Linked DNA regions of Macaca fascicularis. The protein of the gene in region 1 purifies or fractionates together with the protein of each later gene. This does not show direct contact. Links are inferred from orthologs where the notes say so. Each region holds a gene or a part of one and is shown on either strand. Other genes may lie near its edges.

Evidence for each region. Proteins that work in one complex are often made in the same cells at the same time.
Region 2: the proteins of DCAF7 (region 1) and TROAP purify together in Homo sapiens (affinity purification with mass spectrometry; 3 studies listed by BioGRID and IntAct, counting the BioPlex papers as one, with this or other methods). This does not show direct contact. The link is inferred for Macaca fascicularis from reciprocal best matches to the Homo sapiens genes DCAF7 and TROAP.
Region 3: the proteins of DCAF7 (region 1) and CCT8 purify together in Homo sapiens (affinity purification with mass spectrometry; 3 studies listed by BioGRID and IntAct, with this or other methods). This does not show direct contact. The link is inferred for Macaca fascicularis from reciprocal best matches to the Homo sapiens genes DCAF7 and CCT8.
Region 4: the proteins of DCAF7 (region 1) and HIPK2 purify together in Homo sapiens (affinity purification with western blotting; 3 studies listed by BioGRID and IntAct, with this or other methods). This does not show direct contact. The link is inferred for Macaca fascicularis from reciprocal best matches to the Homo sapiens genes DCAF7 and HIPK2.
Region 5: the proteins of DCAF7 (region 1) and SOWAHC purify together in Homo sapiens (affinity purification with mass spectrometry; 4 studies listed by BioGRID and IntAct, counting the BioPlex papers as one, with this or other methods). This does not show direct contact. The link is inferred for Macaca fascicularis from reciprocal best matches to the Homo sapiens genes DCAF7 and SOWAHC.

Annotation. Positions count from the first base shown.
Region 1 is NC_088390.1:70,058,791-70,062,997, reverse strand, and holds the start of DCAF7 (DDB1- and CUL4-associated factor 7), read right to left. Parts: upstream 2,801-4,207; 5' UTR 2,568-2,800; coding exon 2,430-2,567; exon of another isoform or gene 2,305-2,429; coding exon of another isoform or gene 2,284-2,304; intron 1-2,283. UniProt on the Homo sapiens protein: Involved in craniofacial development. Acts upstream of the EDN1 pathway and is required for formation of the upper jaw equivalent, the palatoquadrate. The activity required for EDN1 pathway function differs between the first and second arches.
Region 2 is NC_088385.1:56,144,089-56,148,123, reverse strand, and holds the start of TROAP (tastin), read right to left. Parts: upstream 2,801-4,035; 5' UTR 2,724-2,800; exon of another isoform or gene 2,719-2,723; intron 2,465-2,718; 5' UTR 2,460-2,464; coding exon 2,316-2,459; intron 2,224-2,315; coding exon 2,031-2,223; intron 1,914-2,030; coding exon of another isoform or gene 1,794-1,913; exon of another isoform or gene 1,680-1,793; intron 544-1,679; coding exon 386-543; intron 299-385; coding exon 161-298; intron 1-160. UniProt on the Homo sapiens protein: Could be involved with bystin and trophinin in a cell adhesion molecule complex that mediates an initial attachment of the blastocyst to uterine epithelial cells at the time of the embryo implantation.
Region 3 is NC_088377.1:17,965,950-17,970,133, forward strand, and holds the start of CCT8 (T-complex protein 1 subunit theta), read left to right. Parts: upstream 1-1,384; 5' UTR 1,385-1,442; coding exon 1,443-1,502; exon of another isoform or gene 1,503-1,527; intron 1,528-4,184. UniProt on the Homo sapiens protein: Component of the chaperonin-containing T-complex (TRiC), a molecular chaperone complex that assists the folding of actin, tubulin and other proteins upon ATP hydrolysis.
Region 4 is NC_088377.1:181,456,948-181,461,177, forward strand, and holds the start of HIPK2 (homeodomain-interacting protein kinase 2), read right to left. Parts: upstream 2,801-4,230; 5' UTR 2,434-2,800; coding exon 2,415-2,433; intron 2,053-2,414; exon of another isoform or gene 1,869-2,052; intron 1-1,868.
Region 5 is NC_088387.1:17,110,188-17,114,386, reverse strand, and holds the start of SOWAHC (ankyrin repeat domain-containing protein SOWAHC), read right to left. Parts: upstream 2,801-4,199; 5' UTR 2,708-2,800; coding exon 1,112-2,707; 3' UTR 1-1,111.

The DNA.
Region 1 (4,207 bases):
TGAACTTGAATTGGAAAATCATGCCCATATTTCCATTCACCTCTAGCTAAATATGTTTTATTTCCTTCAATTACAAATGGGTTAGGTGCTCACAGTGGCATAAGTATCTGTGACTTCACCAGCAAGAGAAATATTTTTTCCCACCACGGTGCAGTTAAGCATCTTGAAATGCTGTTTACCCTTGTCACCACTTCAAAATTACATTAATAATTACACTGGATGGTGTAAATCAATATATTTATTAAAAGTACATATGACTACATCACCACTTCTAAAAACATGTTTATATCTGTAGTGCAACGTAAGTGGTTTCTTTTGTAATTCTACGTGTTCTATGCATTTGAAAACATAACTATGAGAAGGGGTCTATTGGTATCAGATGATCATAGCACACAGAATTTAAGAACCCTGACCTACTGACAGGTGGAGGCACAAAAATGATTTTAAGACAGCACATTGCCTACATCATGTGAGTTAAGATATAGCTAACTGCTTACGCTGTTGATAGTGGGGTTATTAGTTTGCATTTCACTGCTAAGCCATGCTACCTGTGTGCCTGGAACAAAGAGGAAGCTCCAGAGAGTTGCTAAAAGAAAGGACAAACTGGGGTAGAGTTCCTGCAACAGCAGTTTGACTACTCCATTGATTCTACCAGCAGCCTAACTGTGGCTCAGTTTCTCCTCTCTGGAGAATAGGAGTAACTATTGTTTACCCCGTGACACTGGAAAAACACACAGGAAAAAAACATTAATTTGTGTGAAAAATTAAGCTTAAGCTCTTTGAAAGACATACTTTTTTATTTTCCACGTGTATCCTTAAACAATAGTTCTAGTGGTCTTAATTTTACTAACACGGTGTCCACATCAGAATCTTGAATCCCATTCCCAGTTCAGCTGTCCACAATGGGCCACAAGGAAGAAAGAAGCATCAGAGGAAAGGAAATACAGCTCTATTTCGCCCGGGAAATGGGTGAACTTAAAGATCAGTGCATATTGCTTGGATTTGTTTGTAAATATGTTCACGTATGTGTAATGTCTGGACAATGAAAATTCATCGCTTTCATCAGCTTCTCAAAGAGGACTCCAAAGAAGACCTACTCTAGAGAAACGTGCTCCTGAAAAACTGTAAACAAACTGTAAAATATTCAAATTTCTTTTTTACAAGACCCTCACATGTAAACCAGAACCCCTTCCCTACAGCAAACTGTGGGTCACAGATAATAAAACAGGCCTGTGCAACACCTCACAGCTAGTCAATAATCAGACAGGACCCACTCCTAGACCACCTGGCTTTTTCCCCCCTGCATGAGCCTTGTCACTGAACAGTTTTCTTCTTCTTCTTTTTTTTTTTTTTTTTTTGTATTTTAGTAGACAGCGTTTCACCTTGTTACCCAGCCTGGTCGCAAACTCCTGAGCTCAGGTAATCTGCCTGCCTCGGCCTCCCAAAGTGCTGGGATTACAGGCGTGAATCACCGCGCCCAGCCAGTTTTACTCTTCTTAAATCTGATGCTCATGGCATAAGGCAGTAGTGGCTTTAAATATCACTAGCCACAGCTTTCAGTTGCTCTGATCGCTATCATTCAACTTTAATTGAGTAAAAGGAAGAAAGCAAAGAAAATGCTTCCAACTGACTTATTCAGCTTTCAAAGATGAGTTTATGTTGCAATGCCAGTTTAAAAGCTCCCCTACGACACCGTGCTTCTATAAAGGATTCTCAAATTGATGAATGTCCAGCAAGATCTATTACTAAAGGTCACACAACTGTACTAGCATGAAACAAGCCAAAAGATAAGGCCCTGTCATCCTGTGTTCAGGAAACAACCGCGGGATCATGCCACAGGCCAAGATTTCCAAAGAGATTGCTTTAGAGAGAATGGTTATCAGGAAGCAAGAGCAACAGTAATTCTGGCAGAAGGGCTAGGATCCACACCCGGGGTGTGGGAGTAGGGGGCGGGGAAGCTTGTACAACAGATCGTCTTAATAGAAATCTAGTGTGGCCAAGAGTGCACGACCGCGAATAGAAGCGTCTGCATTTTCCTTCACAACTACCACTCCCTCTTCCCTTCCCCGCCCACCAACGAAAAAAATGCGGCAGGAGTGGAGAGCACGGGAGGAATAAATGGAGTATCTTTGGGGCGTAAACCCGGTTTTAAGACCTGTTTCCACCACGAAATAGCTGCCTGACACAGGCAAGTCACAAAACCGTGACTCAGTTTCCCCACTACACTGCCGACTACACAAGAATGCTGCCGGGATTAAATGAGACAGACAACGAGTACGAAACCTTCAGCACAGGGCCAGACATTGGAACCGCTCCATGGCCCTAAGGCGAGTCCGCAGGAGGGTTCTGGGGCCTGGGCTCCGGCCCGGAAAGGGCGCTCCCGGGGCCCGCTCCCCGCCAGCTGGGTTCCGAGGCCCTGCCCGGCCCACCTTGTTGTTGTACTCCTCCACGAAGCTGCCCAGCGCCAAGCGAAAGCGCTTATCGGGCCGCACACTCCAGTTCATCGCGTAGACCGTCCAGGGCGCTTCATACTTGTAGATCTCCTTCCGTTTGCCGTGCAGGGACATGGTGGCGGCGGGGCCGCAGTACGGGCCGGGTCAACAGTGGGCTGCGGCGGGCGGGGTGCGAGTCGGGCGGGGAGCCGGGCCTGAGATCTATGGGTCCGAAGGGAGGAGGGGCGGGGGCGGGCAGGAACGGCCTACCCCGGAAGCGGGGATGCGGCGACAAACAACGACAACGACCGAACCCGACCCCTAGTTTCAAACCAGCTTGGGCACCGACGACAACCACCTTCCGTTTCGGGACGCCGCCCCGCCCTCTCGGAACGGAAGCCACGGGACCCCTGCAGCGCCACCGGCCGTTGGTTGCCTGACACGTCCTTTCGAAAGGATTCTTTCTTCTCATTGGTTATTGCGGCCGTAGCGTGTGAAATCTCCTCGTTATTGGGTTAAATGTTTGTCATTGCAACTACTCGCCCCGCCCAACTCTCGGAGGCAGGCGCTTTGGCAGCCCCAAAGATCATTGGCTGACCAAGATGTCAGTCAGGCAGATAACGGCGCAGTGCGGGTGGTGGGGGCGTGGGTGGCCGGGAGGCGAGCGTGCTGGAGTAGCGGGCCTCCAAGTTCTAGGCCAAGTCTCTGAGCGTGAAACTGTCTGTGACCTGCGCTGACTTCTCCTCTGCTGCTGCTGTTCTGAGCGGCCTTTCCATGCTGTCGAGTAAAAGTACAATTCTGCTTTAGCGGAAGACCTACTACTTTCGCGGGACCGAGCCCCGCGGCCTGGCAGCCTGGCCTATGCGCAACGGGTACCACCTTCCTGCCCCTTCTCTTCCCAAGGCCCCTTTAACCCGAAAGCTGCTGTCTTCGGGCCTCAGGGCCAGGCTTCAGGGGCGCAGCTGCGCTCAGGGCCAGGCCAGCTTGAGTCAGGTCCTCCCGCGCTTTCCTGCAGGATCTAGAAATGTCCCCGAATTCTGGGGTAGACACCGACCTGACCAGCTTGGCTCTGTTTTTGTCGGTTCCCATCCTGTACCTTCCCCGCCGTGCATCCCAACGCAAATGCTAATCCAGCCCCAAAAGTATCTGTGCCTGTGAGTTTGAAAGGGAGAAGGGCCAGAGACCAAGTGACACCTTTATATAAATGGTTTCCAATTCTTAGCTTTCATCAAAATTGAAGGAGGTTTGTATTGAATTGTTGGATTATAACATTAAAGTTTTTTTTTTTTTTTTTTTTTTTTTTAAAGACAGGGTCTTGCCCTGTCACCCAGGCTGGAGTGCACTGGTGTGATAAGGGCTCACTGTAGCCTCGACTGCCTAGGCTCAAACGATTCCACTTTAGCCTCCAGAGCAGCTGGAACAACAGACGTTTGCCACCACACCTAGCTATTTTTAAATTATTTGTAGAGATGAGATCTCTCCATGTTGCCCAGGCTGATCTCGAACTTAGGCTCAAGCGACCCTCCCACATCAGCATCCAGAAGTTCCGGGATTACAGGCTTGAGCCACCATTCTGGGCGCTAAATATAATTTTTAGTGAAAATGATTTTTCCATCTCCCAGGTTTAAGTGATTCTCTTGCCTCAGCCTCCCGAGTAGCTGGGATTACAGGGGTGTACCACCACGGCCAGCTAATTTTTGTATTTTTAGTAGAGACAGGGTTTCACCATGTTGACCATGCTGGTGTCGAACTCCTGACCTCAAATGATCTGCCAG
Region 2 (4,035 bases), on another chromosome or scaffold:
TCAGAGGTGGACCCTAAACCCTCAGGCCTCACCACCAACCCCATCTCCCCCAATAGGATCCCTTGCCTCATCATGAGGTACTTCCTCTCCCAAAGGCCAGCTTTGTCCCTGGAAGGAGCTCCCAGAAGCACCAAGTATCAGGCCTCTCAAGGGCACTCACCAGAGCCTGTAGCCTCTGGGGGCACAAAGTCTGGCCTCGAGGTCCTGGTCCCTCCAGCCTTGAGAAGCAGGAAGCCCTGGCAGGGTCCAGTCGGTGAGTGGGAGTTCTGGGGGCCAAATATGCAGAGGCCCGAACACCCTGGGACACCAACAGAGGCTGTCAGCACAGCTCAGGATGCCCACCTCAGCGCCCCCAGCCTGGTCTCCTCACATCCTGTTTCATTACCTGGCCCCTCTGGGTGGTGCCTCCCTGACTTCCTCGAACCAGTACTCTCTTAGCAAGACTAGGCTGGCGCCCCAGGTGACAGCTCTTCACACCCTCACCTGACAGGATGGTGGCCAGGGCTGCAGGGTCAGCCACAAACTCTATGGTCCCTGGAGCCTCTGCAAGGAAAGAGAAGGAAAGGTAAGAAGGAACAGGAAGGGGGAAAGCTGAGGGGGATAGGGACCCTAGCATAGTCACTTTGAGATACAAGGTGAGCAAAAGAGACTCATTCAATTGAATTTGGCTTTTTTTTTTTTTTTTTTTAAGCAATAGATGGCTGGGCGTGGTGGCTCACACCTGTAATCCCAGCACTTTGGGAGGCTGAGGCAGGTGGATCACTTGTGGTCAGGAGTTTGAGACCAACCTGGCCAACATGGCAAAACCCTGTCTCTACTAAAAAAATACAAAAATTGGCTGGGCATGGTAGCTCACTCCTGTAATCCCAGCACTTTGGGAGGCTGAGACGGGCAGATCACCTGAGGTCAGGAGTTTGAGACCAGCCTGGTCAACATAGTGAAACCCCATCTCTACTTAAAAAAAAAAAAAAAAAATTAGCTGGGCATGGTGGCACACACCTGTAGTCCCAGCTACTCAGGAGGCTAAGGCTGGAGAATCATTTGAACCTGGGAGGTGGAGGCTGCAGTGAGCCAAGATCATGCCACTGCACTCCAGCCTGGTGACAGAGCGAGACTCCGTCTCATATAAATAAATAAATAAATAAATAAAGCAAACAAAAATTAGCCAGGTGTGGTGGCAGGTGTCCGTAATCCCAGGTACTTGGGGGAGGCTGAGTCATGATAATTGCTTGAACCTCGGAGGTGGATATTGCAGTGAGTTGAGATCATGCCACTGTCGTCCAACCTGAGGGATACAGTAAGACTCTATCTCCAAAAAAAAAAAAAAAAAAAAAAGAAAAGAAAAAAAAAAAGAAAAACTAAAAAGAAATGGGGTCTCACCATGTTGTCCAGGCTGGTCTCAAACTCCTGAGCTCAAGTGACCCTCCCGCCTCAGCCTCTCAAAGTGTTGGAATTACAGGCGTGAGCCACCACACCTGCCCACCAAATGTTCATAGAATGTTACATAAGACACTATTCTAAGCATTGGGGTCCCATAAGAATAAGACAAAGCCCCTATCCTCAAGAAGCTATCATCAAACTATAGACAGGTAACAGACTCAAGCCAAGGTATATACATGTTATAAAAGAAGTACTGCAAAGTATTAGGAGAACAAGTGACATGGGGAACTGGAAAAGGCTTCAGAAGAAGTGACATTTATTATTTATTTATTTTTTTTTTTTTTAAAGAGATAGGATCTCCCTCTGTCATCCAGGCTAGTCTCCAACTCCTGGCCTCCAGTGATCCTCCCGCTTTAGCCTCCTGAGTAGCTGTGATTACTGGTACAACCCATGGCGCCTGGTGAGATGACATTTTGCTGGAGGAAAGGGAGATCTTCTAAGAGCAAAGAGCTTTCCAGGAGGTGGAACCAGGACTATCACAGTAAGCAGGAGACAGCAGGAGTGAGTGCAAAACCCCAAAACCCCACTTTTACCCTTCCTAGTTCCCTACTCGGCCATGGAGGCCGTGTTACCAGGGCTCCAACAGGTACCTGTCTGGGCAGGGGGCCCAGGCCCCACATTTTGACCCCTAGGGCTAGGCCTGAGCTCCTCCAAGGGGTTCCGAGGCTGAGGGATCCCCACCAATCTTTGTGATGTCTCTGCCTGGTGCTTGGCTTTGGGCCTAGGGCCTGCTGAATCAACGAGGGGGCGTTGAATATTGAGCGGTGGTTTCTGCAACCATCTCTAGGGGAGGGAGGGGGGACAAAAAGGTGAGGTTTAGTGTTGGGGTGCATTACTGGTGTGACTACTGTCTTCCCCCATTAGGCCGCTCTTACCCTTGGATCTTGGTTCTCCTGGTCCAGGGCGCACGATGTAACAGTGGGGAAAGGCGTGCGTTTCTGAGAGCGTACCGGAATCTTGCTAGGGGTAGGAGATACACCCCGAAGGAGGGGATCCCTCGTGGCTTGCCGGGTGGTCATGATGGCTACAGTTGAGACGGGGAAGAAGGCAGGTAGAATCGGAGATCAAAGATCAACCAGTTCTCGGGGCACCTGTCCTGCCATCCCTGATACCTCTGCCCTAATCCACGCGCCCACAAGCCCCCGGCGCCTGCAAGACCGCTCTTATGGGTGCTACCTCCAGACACCCCGAAACTACTCTTTCGCCCTCGGACCTCGAACTGCCCTCGTCCCTATGAGCCCAGCAGCCCTCGTTCCCTCCAAGACCCCCGTGCCTCACCTTACCGAGAGCCCCTCAGGGCCGACCCAGCTTCCTCCGCTTTTCGCCTGACTCTCTCGGATACGGCTGGAGCTACTTCCTCAGTTTGTAAAATACGCCAAGCTCCTGATTGGCCCGGCCGCGCTCCCGCGGAGGCCTGTGTAGCCAGACTCAGCAGTCCAATCCGCGGGCTTCGCAGGAGGGGCCAAAAGAAGGACCAATTGTCGAACCGCTTTCTGGCCAGGAAAAAAAAAAAAAAAAAAAAAAAAACTGACTCGGCTCAATCAGCCAATCCGAGAGTGGAGCGCCGCTGGAAGGCGGGGAAAGAGGAAGGATGGGGCAGTTCCGAGGCCGTTCCGAGGCCGGGGAAGGCGTAGCCATGGGAGCTCTCGCGAGGTCTCGGGACCGGCGAGGGGCTGGCCATTGGCAGAAAGGGGCCGTCGCGGCCCTGAGAGGACGGTTGCTTGTTCTGATTGGTGCCAACGGTGTTGAAGGCTGGCCTGTGCCCCCCACCCGGCTTGACCACAGCCCTGCGCCAAGCTTTGGGGACGCCATTCCAGATACCCATAGAAAATATCTGCGTCCGGGCGCGGTGGCAGGCGCCTGTAATCCCGGCACTTTGGGACGCCGAGGCGGGAAGATCTTTTGAGCTATGAGTTTGAGACCAGCCTGAGCAACATAGCGAGACCACTCCCACCCCTATCTACAAAATAATAAAATAATAATAATAATTCCTGTGCAGTGGTGCGCGCTTGTAGTCCCAGCTGCTCTGGAGGCTGAGGCAGGAGGATCGTTTTGAGCCCAGGAGGTTGAGGCTGTTTGAGTTGTGGTCACGCCACTGCACTCCAGCCTGGGCAACAGAGAGAGACCCTGTCTTAAGGATAAATACATAAATAAATAAAGAGGGAAAGAGAGAGAGAACATCTGCACGTTGTCTCCAAGATAAGGAACTGCCTTCAAACAGGCAGAGGGCTGAAGGGAATCGAACTGAGCCTAACAATATGTGTGCTCCTTGGAGCCTCACAACCCAGTGAGGTGTCTGGTGAGGTGTCTTTCATTTCACGATAGGTAACAAGACTCATTGTTTTTGAACTCAGTTACCACAGCACCAGAATTGAATGACTACTCACAGCTGGGCTTTCCTTGCCTCCAGGTAGCCTTTTGCAGATCTAGAGGTCTGGGGAGAGGGGGCTCACCTGCTGGTTATTGGTGGGCAGAGCTGTGAGACTGAGAGATCCTAGAATATCCTGCTTAAGATGGACGGGGTAACCCCTAATGGGGGACAGGAAATGAACACCACTTTCAAGTTGACAGAACTCTGGTGAATTTTCCCCACCA
Region 3 (4,184 bases), on another chromosome or scaffold:
GTTTAATTGGCTCACAGTTCCACAGGCGATACAGGAAGCATGGCTGGGGAAGCCTCGGGAAGCTTACAATCAAGGTGGAAGGTGAAGGGGAAGCCGGAAAGTCCTACAAGGCTGGAGGAGGAGGAAGAGACAGAGTAGGGAGGTGCCACACACTTTTAAACAACTAGGTCTCATGAGAACTCACTCACTATCACAAGAACAGCAATGGGGACGTTCGCCCCCTTGATCAAATCACCTCCCACCAGGCCACACCTCCAACACTGGGGATTATAATTCCACATCATATTTGGGCAGGGACACAAATCCAAACCATATCACTGGCATTTACATTTTTGCAAAAAAAGATTTTTTTTTTTTTTGAGACAGGACCTCACTCTGTTGCCCAGGCTGGAGTGCAGTGGCATGATCTCAGTTCACTGCAGCCTCAACCTCCCAGGCTCAAGCAGATCCTCCAACCTTAGCCTCCTGAGCAGCTGAGACTACAGGTGCATGCCACCAAGCCGAAGGGATTTATATTGATCTATAAATTTATATATAAATCAGATATATTTATATAAAATGTATACATTTTGCAATCAGTCTGACCTGGGTAGGAATTCTAGCTGTAATATTTACTAGCTCTGTGATCTTGGGAAAATTATTACCCTTTGTGAACTTCAGTTTCCCTTCCATAAAATGGAAACAATACCATTAAAAATCAAATGGTATTGTCTCCATTTTGTAGAAGGAAAACTAAATGTTATTTTAATCGACGATTCATTAATTTTTAAGATTGACCATTAACAGAGATACTCCATGGAAAGCGGATCATACAGAACCTGGCGCATGTAAAGCAGATCACACAGAACCTGGCACACGTGAGCATTTGATGTGTGCTACGCTACCCTTAGTGACGACTTTAATTATCATGCGCATTCCCAGCGCTTCCTATGGTGCCCAACACACAGCGCACGCCCAAAGGCAATTTTGGAGGATGGGGCAGATGCTCTGCCTCGGGGAAAAAAATCCACACACACACACCTGCCCTGATGTTGGTGGCTGGGTCTGGAATATTACGTGGAAATTAAGCTAAGGATGTGTGCCTTCCACATCAAAAGCCGCAAAAATCTAACACCGCGACTACTGAGTCCGATCAGGGAGCACAGACTGGAACAAGCTCCCACGGCTTGGGCCGTCTGCGCGTGCGTGAGCCGGAAACCCGAGGCGCTCCCTGGGCCCGCCCTATCGATCGACCCGATCGGGGATCGTCAGCTTGGTTCTGGTCACAGAAGTTGCTCTTCTCGCGATGCTTCACCTCTGGCGGCGGGGAAAGGGCGGGCTAACTGGAGAGCGAGGAAGAAAGAGACACGGCCGCACGCTGCTTTCCCAGAAGGCTGTGCGTGCTCCTTGCTTCCTCCGCTTTCTTCCGAGTGGTCGCGTGAACGGCTTCCTGCAGCCTGGCCATGGCGCTTCACGTTCCCAAGGCTCCGGGCTTTGCCCAGATGCTCAAGGAGGGAGCCAAAGTAAGGGCTGAAGGAAAGGAATGAGGTGGGAGAGTCAGCATAGGGCTGCGGCGGCCGCGGCGAAGTAGGAGGGCCTACTAACGGGCTGAGCGTGCTGCCCTGGCACAGCGGCCGGGGGAGAGAAGATTCCAGAAAGGGAGGTGATCTTGGAAGGACTCGGCCTTCCAGGTGTCCCGGGGCCTACAGGCACTTCTCTTCTTCCGCGACCGGGAGAAGGCTGAGGGGTGGGCGGCACGATGGACATTGTACACCTTGAAGGTGGACGGACGTGAAGCCGCGCGTGCGTTTTGCCTCCATCCATAAATGGGGCTAAGGCCCGTCACGCTTAAAAGGGGTTGTGAGGGTGAAATTGAATAACGTAGATGAAATTGTCTTGGGAACTGCGACGCCGATTGACACATAGCTCGCGAGTTATAGGATGGGGAAGAAGGAGAACTAGGCGATCCAGAGAAGAGAGTGTGGGAAAAAGGGCCGGGTCGTGGTTGCTTCTTTCCCAGTGAGAAACAGGGCTTTCAGCTTGGTTGACAGAAGCCATGCGTTGTAGCCAGATGAGTTCCAGTCCCAACTTATGTTAGCTGGCTTAGTCTAAAACCTAACTCTCTTGGGTTTTGTTTTCTTGATCTTTAAATTATGGAGATTGGACCAAGAGGGTGGTGTCTTTGAGTTCTGACCCTGTAATCTGCAGGATAAGTGATACAGTGTTGCAGATGACACTGTTTTGTTTAATGGCCGTGTCTTGAACGTTATTTCAGTAGCATAGTTTTAAAACATATCTTACTGCACTGTTGATAAATTTGTCTCTTGTGCTATTCAAATTGCGTTCCTCTGTATGTCCTCCAGATTTTGTTAATTCAAGAAATAGATCAGTGTGGTCGAATTTAAGGTTATGCGAGGTACAGGGAGCATTAACAGTTTAATACAACTAGGTTCATGTTTGTAGAATGCACTCTTCAAATAATGTCATTATAGTAAGTAAATGTCAGGGTTTAATGTAAATGTTGGTGGCATCATCTTTTGAAAATAATATGGGCTGATTTCCTTAAAAAATCAGGCTGAGATATTAGCTTCCAATTTGGGTTTTTTTCACTAATACAGTTTTGGAAAACTCGTGTATCACAAAACATTATTTGTATTTCCAATGCTAGTAGATTTTTACAGAACACTGAGCTATTTCATTCAATAAATAGGTACTGAAGGAACTGCAGTGAAAAACACAAGTCCCACTTCTCGTAGAGTTTATGTGCTTCTAAGGCAGATATAATGATTAAAAGGAGAATTCCAAATAATGATGAAAGAAACCGTACTATAGTAGAGGATGACAGGAGGTTAAAATGTCTCTAAAAGAAGCATCAGGAATAGACAGAACACTTAGATATTTAGGGAAGAACTCTTAGCTCTGTGCTTAGTGAGAGAAGCCCCTGAGCCTGGGCTGTTTCCCCCCACCTCTTATTTAGGTGTACTTAACTAGTACAAAGACCCTGAGGAAGGAATGATTTGAACCTGTTTTTTTTCTTCTTCTTCAAAAAAACCAGAAAACAGGTTATAGGGCTGAAGCTTACCAAAGAAAAGAAAATGGTAAATTTAGAGGAGGAGCTATACAAGGATACACGGGCCAGGATATGTAGGGCCTTGTTTCCCTGAAGAGGGATTTGCATTTTATCCTAAGCAGGATGGGAAACTGTTGAAGGGTTTTTTTTGTTGTTTGTGGGTTTTTTTTTTTTTTTGAGACGAGGTTGCGTTCTGTCGCCCAGGCTGGGATGCAGTGGCGCTCTCTCCACCCTCCGCCTGCCAGGTTCACGCGATTCTCCTGCCTCAGCCTCCAGAGTAGCTGGGATTACAGGCGCACGCCCGGCTAATTTTTTGTGTATTTTTAGTAGAGACAAGGGTTCACTATGTTGGCCAGCCTGGTCTCAAACTCCTGACCTCGTGATCCGCTCGCCTAGGCCTCCCAAAGTGCTGGGATTACAGGCGTGAGCCACCGCGCCCGGCCTTGAAGGTCTTAAGTATGGGAATGATGGGATCTGATCAGATGGTAGTTTCTCACAGAATGGGGAGTGAGGGGAAGAAGGAAGAGTGGAAGCCAGGAGTTCAGACTTAAGTGTTATTGCTGGAATACAGTTCTTATTGCTGAAGATGCTTTTAGAGTAGTGGCTATTGGCAGGGGTAAAATACAAAAAAACTTAGCCTCGTGTGGTGGCGCGCGCCTCTAGTCCCAGCTTCTCAGGAGGCTGAGCCTCCAGAATTGCTTGAACTGGGAGGCCCAGGTTGCAGTGAGCTGAGATCGTGCCACCGCACTCCAGCCTGAGCGATAGAGACTCTCTCTCTCTCAAAAAAATGTAACAGCTATTAACCTTGGTTTTGGATCACAAAATCATGGCTTGTATTGTAAAGCAGTACTGTGTAATAGAACTTTTTGCAGTGTTGGACATATGCTGTATCAGCCTGTCCAATGTGATATTCACAAGCCACATGTAGCTACTGGGCATTTGAACTGTGTGTGGCTCCTGCAATTGAGGAACTGAATTTTTAAATTTTAATTACTTGAAAATTTACTTTAATTGCTTTCACTAGCCCCATGTAGCTGGTGGCTACTGTATTGGGCAGCACAGCTCTAAAGAAATGTTCTCATGCACTGTAGATTAGTGAAATATATCTGAGGACCCAAGTAAACCTCAACTCTAA
Region 4 (4,230 bases), on another chromosome or scaffold:
GGAAAAGCTCTGCTCATTTAGCGTGCACACAGGGAGTCCATGTGTTCTGATTGAGATAGGGGAAAAATCAGGTTTCCTGAACCCAGCGGATGTTACCATGGCGGGAGAAAGGAGGTCATCAGAGTCTTGGCACAATCATCAGTGAGTGAATGCGGGTCCTAGCAACCTAATCCTTGATTCTAGAGGTCACCTGTTGTAGAGCATATCCAACAATCTCTTTCAAAAACACCCAGGCCTGGGCTTTTGGCAGAGTGATGTGGGTTAGTTGAGGTGGGATAGGGAAGAACATTAGAAAAATAATTATAAAGGTGCACAGAGAAACATCCGGAATAAAAGGGTGCACAGCGCGGGAAGAATGAAGAAGGCACATGGATAAGATGGAGGGAAACCGAGGGCTGAAAGAGGCCACCACGGAGGTCACCTGAGAAAGGGAAGGAAGGCTGGCAAATAAAAACAGTTCATGAGACTTTTGAGATCCATGATTATTCTTAAACCGTAACACCCTACACACCTGCAATTCTTTATCTGGCGTAAGGAACTGGAAGAACAATGTAGCAGGAATGGGGAGAGCCAAGTCTCAGCCTCGGGGGCATGGCCTACATTCCACATGGATTTAGAATGAAAGGAGCAGGAGGAGAACAGTGCAGTTCCCAAGATGGCTTTCCACAAAGTTGACAAAATACACCCCAACTCACATACCCGGTCCCTAGTAACAGGGAAACCAGCCGTTTACTATAGTTCTGAATTCAATGCCAAGTTCCTTCTCGCAACTCACCAGGAGTGTCCAGCAGAGGGAGTCTCAAGGAGGTACTTAATAAAGAGAAAATTGTTTCATTTTAACACTCTAGACAGTGGGAGCATTGACTGTAGCCCCCTCCTGTAGACGCAGATGAACAATGAACGCCCGACATGGGTTCTCCCGCATGTTCACATGTCCACCGGCATGTTCTATTCTGCGTGGTGGAGTGATCAGAAATTTCGTTTTGTTTTGTCGAATGGTTAAATGGACCTTGTGTTCTTCAGAATCAAAGAGGAAAGCCCCTGGAATAACATCTCTCTGTTGCCTTCTAAACAGCCCCTTTGTTTCTAAGAGAGTCTGAAAAAAAATATTTACAGTCCATAGGTTATTTACAGCCTCGTTATCCAGGGCCTGACTGGTAACTTTATTCCGGCCAGAAACCTAATTCATTTGGAGCCCTGAATCTAATAACAGATTTTCTTTTCAGATAAGTTTTTTTTTTTTTTTTTTTAAATCAGCCTCTTATAACAGAGATAAAACTATTAACGCCTTCCCTGTCTCACTGGCCACAACTGTTCTCCGGATTTACAGGCGGATTACATTCCCCCCTCGTGCCCTCCTCTGTGCCACACAAACCCTGTCCCCTCTCATTTGCGATTTCATCCACAGAATATCTGAACAAAACCGAAAGAAAGCCAGGGGGACCCACACTAAAAGTATGTGAAGGCTGCGAATTCAATGATTTCATGAGACAAACATTTACACGATGAAACGACTGAAAAATCAGACACACTTGGGTTTAAAATTTCTCCTACTACAAGCACACAAAAACACATCGAAGTGTAAAAACTTAGTTGATTCTGGGTTGCTTTCTGGCTGGAAGCTGACAGAACGGACTGAAGAGAAACGAAAGACAGTGTGCGAGGCAGACCTACTGCTTTTCTGCCTTGCATTCTTTTCTTTCTTGCTAAAGGCAAATGGGGAAAAATACCCCGACGCCAGGTGAAGGTGCACAACACAGGTCGACCCAGACCGAGCCAGGAAAACGTATCCGCCGCTCCCCCGGCTGGAAAACCCAAAGTCCACGTCCCCTTCCACACGCTAATGCGGGGAGATTTTCGCCTATTTCATTGTTCTGCCTGGCTCTGACACGGACTTTTCATCTCTCTCCCCACCTAGCCCCGTGCATTCCGATTCCACAGCCCCCCCAAAATCGGAGGCTCGCGGAGAATAAAGGAGCGTGGGGTGGGCGCGGAGAGAAATGGGAAGGGGCGCGGGGCGGAGAGCGAAGTGGAAAGGAGGTGCTCCGAAAGGTAATGTGGGGGGGCGGTGGAAGCTGAGCCGCATCACCTTCATTTATCGCAAATAAATAAAAAGCACAGTCACCGGTCCGCCTTCCCCGGCGCCCCTGCCCTCCGCGGGCAGCCGCCCACCCTCGCACACGCCCCCTCCCCTCCTGCGCCCCCGGTCCCTCTCCCCGCCCTGGAAGCAGGACCCTGCCGGCGCCGGGTCCCGGTCATCTTCCGGGCGAGGGAGGGGGTCGCGGCCCCCTCGGCCCCGGGTGGGGGCTGGGGCGGGCGCCGGGGGCTGCGGGCGCGGGGCCGCGGGCAGAACAAAGCTGCGGGGGCCGCGGCGGGCGGCGGGCGCGGGGTCGGCGGGGCTGGGCGCCCCTTACCTTCGTACACGGGGGCCATCGGGGCCGGGGTGTCCGCGGTTCATGGCAACGGGGACGGGAAAGCGGCGCGCGAGCTCGGCCCCCCCAGCCTCAGTCGGAATCTGCCATCTTGAGCCTGTGTCTCCGCTCTCGGCGCAGCCGAGGCCGCCCGCGCCCGCATCACCGCCTCCCGTGGCCGGCGCCGGGGGAGGGGGCCGGGCGCGCCGCCGCCGCCGCCGCCGCTGCCGCCCGGGCCCGGCGCGGGGGGCTCGGGGCTCGGGGCTCGGGGCGGCCGGGCGGGCGGAGCGGCCGAGGCCGAGGCGCCGAGCGGCCGCGGCCCCCGAGCGGGTCCGCGGAGGGGCGGGAGCCGGGGGCAGCGCGCGGCCAGGGCCGGCGGGGCTCAGCTCAGCATGGCTGGGCGCGGGGGCTCCGCAAAAGTTGCTGGCGGAGGGGGGCGGCGGGCGGGGGCGGGGCGCGGGGCCGGGAGAGCCACAGGGAGTCCGCGCGCAATCGAGCGCCGATGGCACGGATGCGAGGCGGGGAAGGCCGAGCCGAAGGGCAGAGCCGCGCCGGCGGCCCGAGGGGACCGCGCCGGGAGGGGCTGCCGCGCAGCGCGGGGGGACTGGGCGCGGGGCGGGCCCGGGGTAGCGGGTGAGAGGGCCGGCCTGGACCCGGCGGGCGCAGGGCTCCGAGCCCAGCGCAGCCGAGCCGGTCCGCAGAGGGGCCCCCAGAACTTTGTGTGTGTGTGTGCGTGTGTGCACGCGCGTGTGTGTGTGCCCAGGTGCGAGGGTGCGCGCGTGTGCTGGCGGGGAGGGAACCGACCCGAAAGAGAGCCCCAGGCTGGCAAAGTGGCTCGCCCATCTCACAGCCGGTTGGCGCTCGCGGAGTTAGGAGTGGAATGAATGAATGAAGGAGTGGGCGCGCGCCGTGCTCCCGGGGAGGGCGGGTGAGTGGAGGAGCTTCGGAAAGCTACGCGAGGTCAGAGGCACCGAAGCCCTACCGTGCACGCCGCGGAAATGCAGCCCCCGGGGTGGTCGCTGGGTTCCTGCCGGAGTCTGGCTTCGACGTCACCCTGATCTTCGCCTCCTCGCGTCTACACTGTCCCGAGGGTCCCCCCTCCATCACTGAATGGGCGCTCACAGCTGTCTGGGTCCTCGCTTTTCACAGCGCTCTCTCCTATCAGGGCTTTCGCTAAACACTCTCCAAACTCTCCCCAGCCCGGAGCCTCTTCAGGTTTGCTTCTCCAGCTGCCTCCCGGATGCTTGGATAGGATGCCCTACCATCCCCTCCAACTTAGGAAGACTTGTTGAGTCTCCTCTTAGGCACAGTTTTTAAAACTGTGGGTCGTGATACAGTAATAGATCATAAAATAAATGCAGCAGAAGGCAACCGGCTTTCAAAAAGAATGAAATGGAATCCAATAGAAAATATTAGAGTCCATTGCCCTTAGTAAGGGCAACTATTGTTTCATAAACCTTTTGTTTCGATTATAGGTACTGGACAAGTGTACTAGACCATGATGTCAATTTTATTTCCGACTGTAAATCGTGGATTTAGAAAAGTTGAAAAGCTGTCTTTTTAAGGTGTAAAATAATGATCTCTAACACTGTATGACATTCTTAAAAACAACCCCGTGATTTTCTCACTACTTCTTATCCTTTCCGGTCTCCATCTTCCATTCCCATCCTCTATTCCCCGCCCCTCCCCCCAAAAAAGGCAAGCTCTTTCACATTTTGTTAGTGGCACATCACGACCCCTTTCTCTCTGTGATCTTGGACTCTGCCGTCTTCCTTGCCCCCATAATCAATGCTACACTTCCTACCCCTTCTCTTAACTT
Region 5 (4,199 bases), on another chromosome or scaffold:
TTAAGTTTAGCATTTTAAACATTTATAAAACATTGCTACAAGTCATAGAGACTACCAATGTAGTAAAATAAAAAGTGTACCTTACGTGAGGATCATTACGTTGGTTTAATAATTACTTCACAGAAACATGGGCTCATGAGCCAATTTGTGCTAATTATTTAAACCAGAAACAGTTTCTGTAGGTAATTCAGCTCTAAGCACCATTAAACAGGGTTATGCCAAGTAGAACAATGGTTATATGATCCTCAGAATAAACACCCCAGCAAATGCAAACTTTTAGAATAGTAACACAAGTTAGTGAGAATCCGAAGGAGAGGCAACATTTTATTTAAAACTATCATAGGCTGCTAAGTGCCCTCTTTAAATAAAATTTTGTGTAGTTATTAATGTACCTTAACACTGGTGTACCTTAATAGTGGTGTTAGAGATAGCTGGAAACCATACTACAGAAGTGAATGTTGCCTGTTTCTTTTGTTCAGTGATTAAAACTGAAATTGCTTTTACAAAAATAATTTAACTGCTACTTACAATACACATAAAATACCAAGAGGATTCCCATTTATTCACATTATTACCTAATTAGTATTTTTGCATTTCAACTTTGATCTGACCTTCAGTAGTACCTTAAAATGCAAATGCAATTAGTAAAAAATGGGGCAGCCTGTCGTTTTCACACTCAGAAATACTACCAGTTTCATTACAATTTGCATTTTTTTGTTGCTCTTGAAAGAGTAACCCCTTATAAAATCAGATACATAAAAAGTGCACTATTCCTTACTTTGCAGACATCCAGGAATGGTTAAAGCAAAGGAACTCTCATTCATTCATTCTGTTCCCCCAATTTAGATACATTTCTAGTCTCCAGAAATGGGCTCCAGGGCAGGGAAGTGGAGGGCAGAAAAGAGGCACAGGTCAAGGTATGATGAATCTCTTAAAAAGAAATCCACTTTCCCCAGAAGGCTAACCTGAAGGGAACTCCGCCCCATCCATTCCAGTCCCTCAAGTAAGAATGCATAATTTAGCTTGTCCTTCTGGTCTCATTTCCTTACAACACCTAGTATTCAATTTCCTAAGACAAATAACCCTTAGCATTTTCTAAAAGAAATAATTTTTACCCAAATACATTGGACTTTGGTCTCAATCTGAAGGAAGACGAGTGGCCTTTAACAGACCGTTCCTCCTCCACTTCCTCCTCCCCGCCACCCTCCAGTGGCTGTTCTGGGTCCCTGAAAGAGGGTGTGGTGTGGACAATCTGGGTTCTGAAGCGGATTTTGTTGAGTCTGGGTTTTATACGTCCACTAGAGCTGCCAGAGGCTTTGCGCCCTGGATCCTTGGCTTTGCCTCCGACCCACCCCTCAGCCAAGTGGTGATGTTGGTGATGGTGATGGTAGTGATGGTCTCCTCCATCATCTAGGACGTGTGAGAGTTTGTAGGTGATGAGATGCGAGGGAAGCACCTTTGAAAGCCTCCAGCGCCCACCGCTGCTACCCGCGGCGCTTTCCCCGTCACCCTCGTCCAGGGCTCCCACCAGGTTCTTGATCTCCTCAGCGATGCTCTGACTCAGGTACTGGGAGGCCTTTTTCCCACTGTAGTCCCTGATGTCCACATCGGCGTCGTAGGCCCCTACCAGCAGCTTCACGACCTCCACGTGCCCGTGCATGGCCGCCAAGTGCAGGGCGGTGTAACCCCCGCTCGTCCTGGCGTTGATGTTCACCGGCAGCTGGTGTTTGTTGGCGAAGTTGACTAGCATGGCCAGAAGCTCCTGCCTTCCGTGCTTGGCGGCCCAATGCAGGCAAGTGAAGCCGGTAATGAAGTCCCGCTTGACCAGCAGGCCGGGCTCGCAGGTGAGCAAGCCCTCCAGGCTGTCCCACTTGCCATCGGAGGCAGAGAGCATCCAGGCGTGCTCCAGGGGGTCTAGCGTCACTGAGCCTCCGCCGCTGCTCTCCTCCTCCGCGGACGACGAGGCCACCGATGCGCTGTCTGAGTCGCCACCGCCTCTGCCGCGTCCTCCCCCGGAGGAGCTGCCCGGGCTGCTGCCTCCGGGACACACGCTCCTCTTCAGCTGCGGGGAACTGCCCATCACCAGGTCGCGGAAGTTCTGGCGGGCCGGCCTCTGTGCGGTGGCCCCCCCAAGGGAGCTGCTCCTGTCCGCCTCCTCGCAGCCATGGGGCGGGGGTTCCAGGTCCTCACTGGGTCCCGGGGCCGGAGTCCGGGGCAGGGGCTGCACTTCGCGCCGCGAGTTCTTCCTGCGAGCCCCGGCGCTCAGGGGCGGCCCGTGAGCGGCGGCGTGGGGCTCTCCCTCGCCCAGCTCGCGGCCCTGTCCAGGGAGCGCCTCCGGGGCCGCTGCGTCGGGGAGCCGATCGCGCACCCCGGGCCCGGCCGGGCAGTCGGGGGCCTCGGGCTCGGCGGTCACCTGGATTCGCGGCGGGTCCCCGGAGGGCTCGGACGGCCCCTCACAGAACCTCTTCTTGAGGTGCACGTACTTGGCGCCGTCGGCGGGATCGACGCGCACCGTGGCCACGGCGTTCACCAGCTCCTTGAAGTGCGCGCGGGCGCGGGCGCGCTGCTCGGGTTCGCCGCCCAGTGCGCCCCTGAAGTGCTGCACCAGCTCGGCATGGAGGGCCCGGCCCCCGCGCTCCGCCAGGAAGCGCAGCACCGCCTCGGGGCCCAGCACCGCCTCGGGGCCCCACTCTGCCGACCCCTCCATCCTAGACCGCGCTGCTCCCCCGCCAGCGGGCGGCTCAGCGCGGTCCCATCGCGGCGGGCTCCCAGCGGCCGTCTCCCGACGACGGCGGAGTCTGGCGGGCTCAGCGTGCTGCCAGCCTAGGCGTCACAGGCCGGAGAACTCGGCCACCGCCTCACTGGGCCGCGCCCGGGGGGACACGCCCCCCGCATCCCCGCCCCGCGCCCACGACAACAGGCCACGCCCACTTCCGCTCCCCGCTGTATCAGCCACACCCACCTAGGGCGGCCTTGCCTCAGGGCCCGCCCACTTCCGGCCTCGCGTGGGCCGCAATCACTGTTCCGCAGTTCCCGCCTGCATTCTTCGCGCCCTCTTCCTGGAGTCCCGGCTCTCCTTCAGCCCGCCCCAACACTGACACTCAGTCCTCAGTCGTCGAGGGCAGCTCCCGCGAGGGGCTCGTTTGGCGAACTCAAAACGCTCAGCGCGCACCACAGGGCGTCCGCCCCGACCCCGCCCCCCGTCCACCGTCCCCGGAGGCCTCCAGCTCGGCCCCGCCCCTGTCCCTTCCCTGTGGCGGAGCCGCTTCGCCTCGCGCCCCGCCCGTTACTGCAGCGCTCCCGCCTTCCCGCCGCCGTTGTCGGGACCAGCCGCTCGGGGCCGGGCTGATACAGCCGCTTCACCGCGCCCCTCCCCGCGACCATGGCCTCCTCCGAGGTGGCGCGGCACCTGGTGAGTCCCGCCGACGCCGGGGCCCCAGCCCCGAGCTCCTCGGCCCCCGCGGGACTTCCCGGACCGCGACCCCGGCCCGCTGGCCCCCTGGTCCGGCCCGGGATTGTGACCCGCGCCCCCTCGGGCCCCGCCCGCCCAGTCCTTCCCGGCTTCCGCGGCGGCCGGGCGCCTGGGGCGGGACAGGAGCCTGGGCGCGGCCGGACCCCGGCTTGCGGGGCACGGGGCGCGGTGCCAGCGTCGGGACGGTGGGGGAGTTCTTCTTGAACGACTTCCCGGTCTTTGCCAAAAGTTAAACCCACAGCGGTGATTGTGGGTCTCTCATGGCTGTAACGGTGTTGAGGGCGGTGTGCGGACTGGTTGAATAGCGGTCATCTTTCACAGCCGTGAGCACTTCCCAGCCTCCCTGCCCCCGGGAGAAAGCCCGGCTTCCCTGGCTTTTCAAAAGCTTTCGCGTTTTACCCAATGGTGTGGTCGTCCAAGTTTTCCTCCGAACCGTTTTTTTTCCCGCCTTGACTCTTTTGTACTCTAAAAGAACGCGTTTGTTCATTGTTTTGAACCTTTCCAGTTACTTTTGTATATTTATTTCGCTTACTAGTAAGCCAGCGGTTTTCAAAGTGTCGTTACAACTATTTTCATGATAGTACCAAGGACCTGTACATCGAGTTTTCCAAAGGCTACATGATATGGAATGATACCACCGTTTGGAGGGCCGATGTCTGTGTATTCTTTTTTTTTTTGAGACGGAGTCTCGCTCTGTCGCCCAGGCTGGAGTGCAGTGGCTGGATCT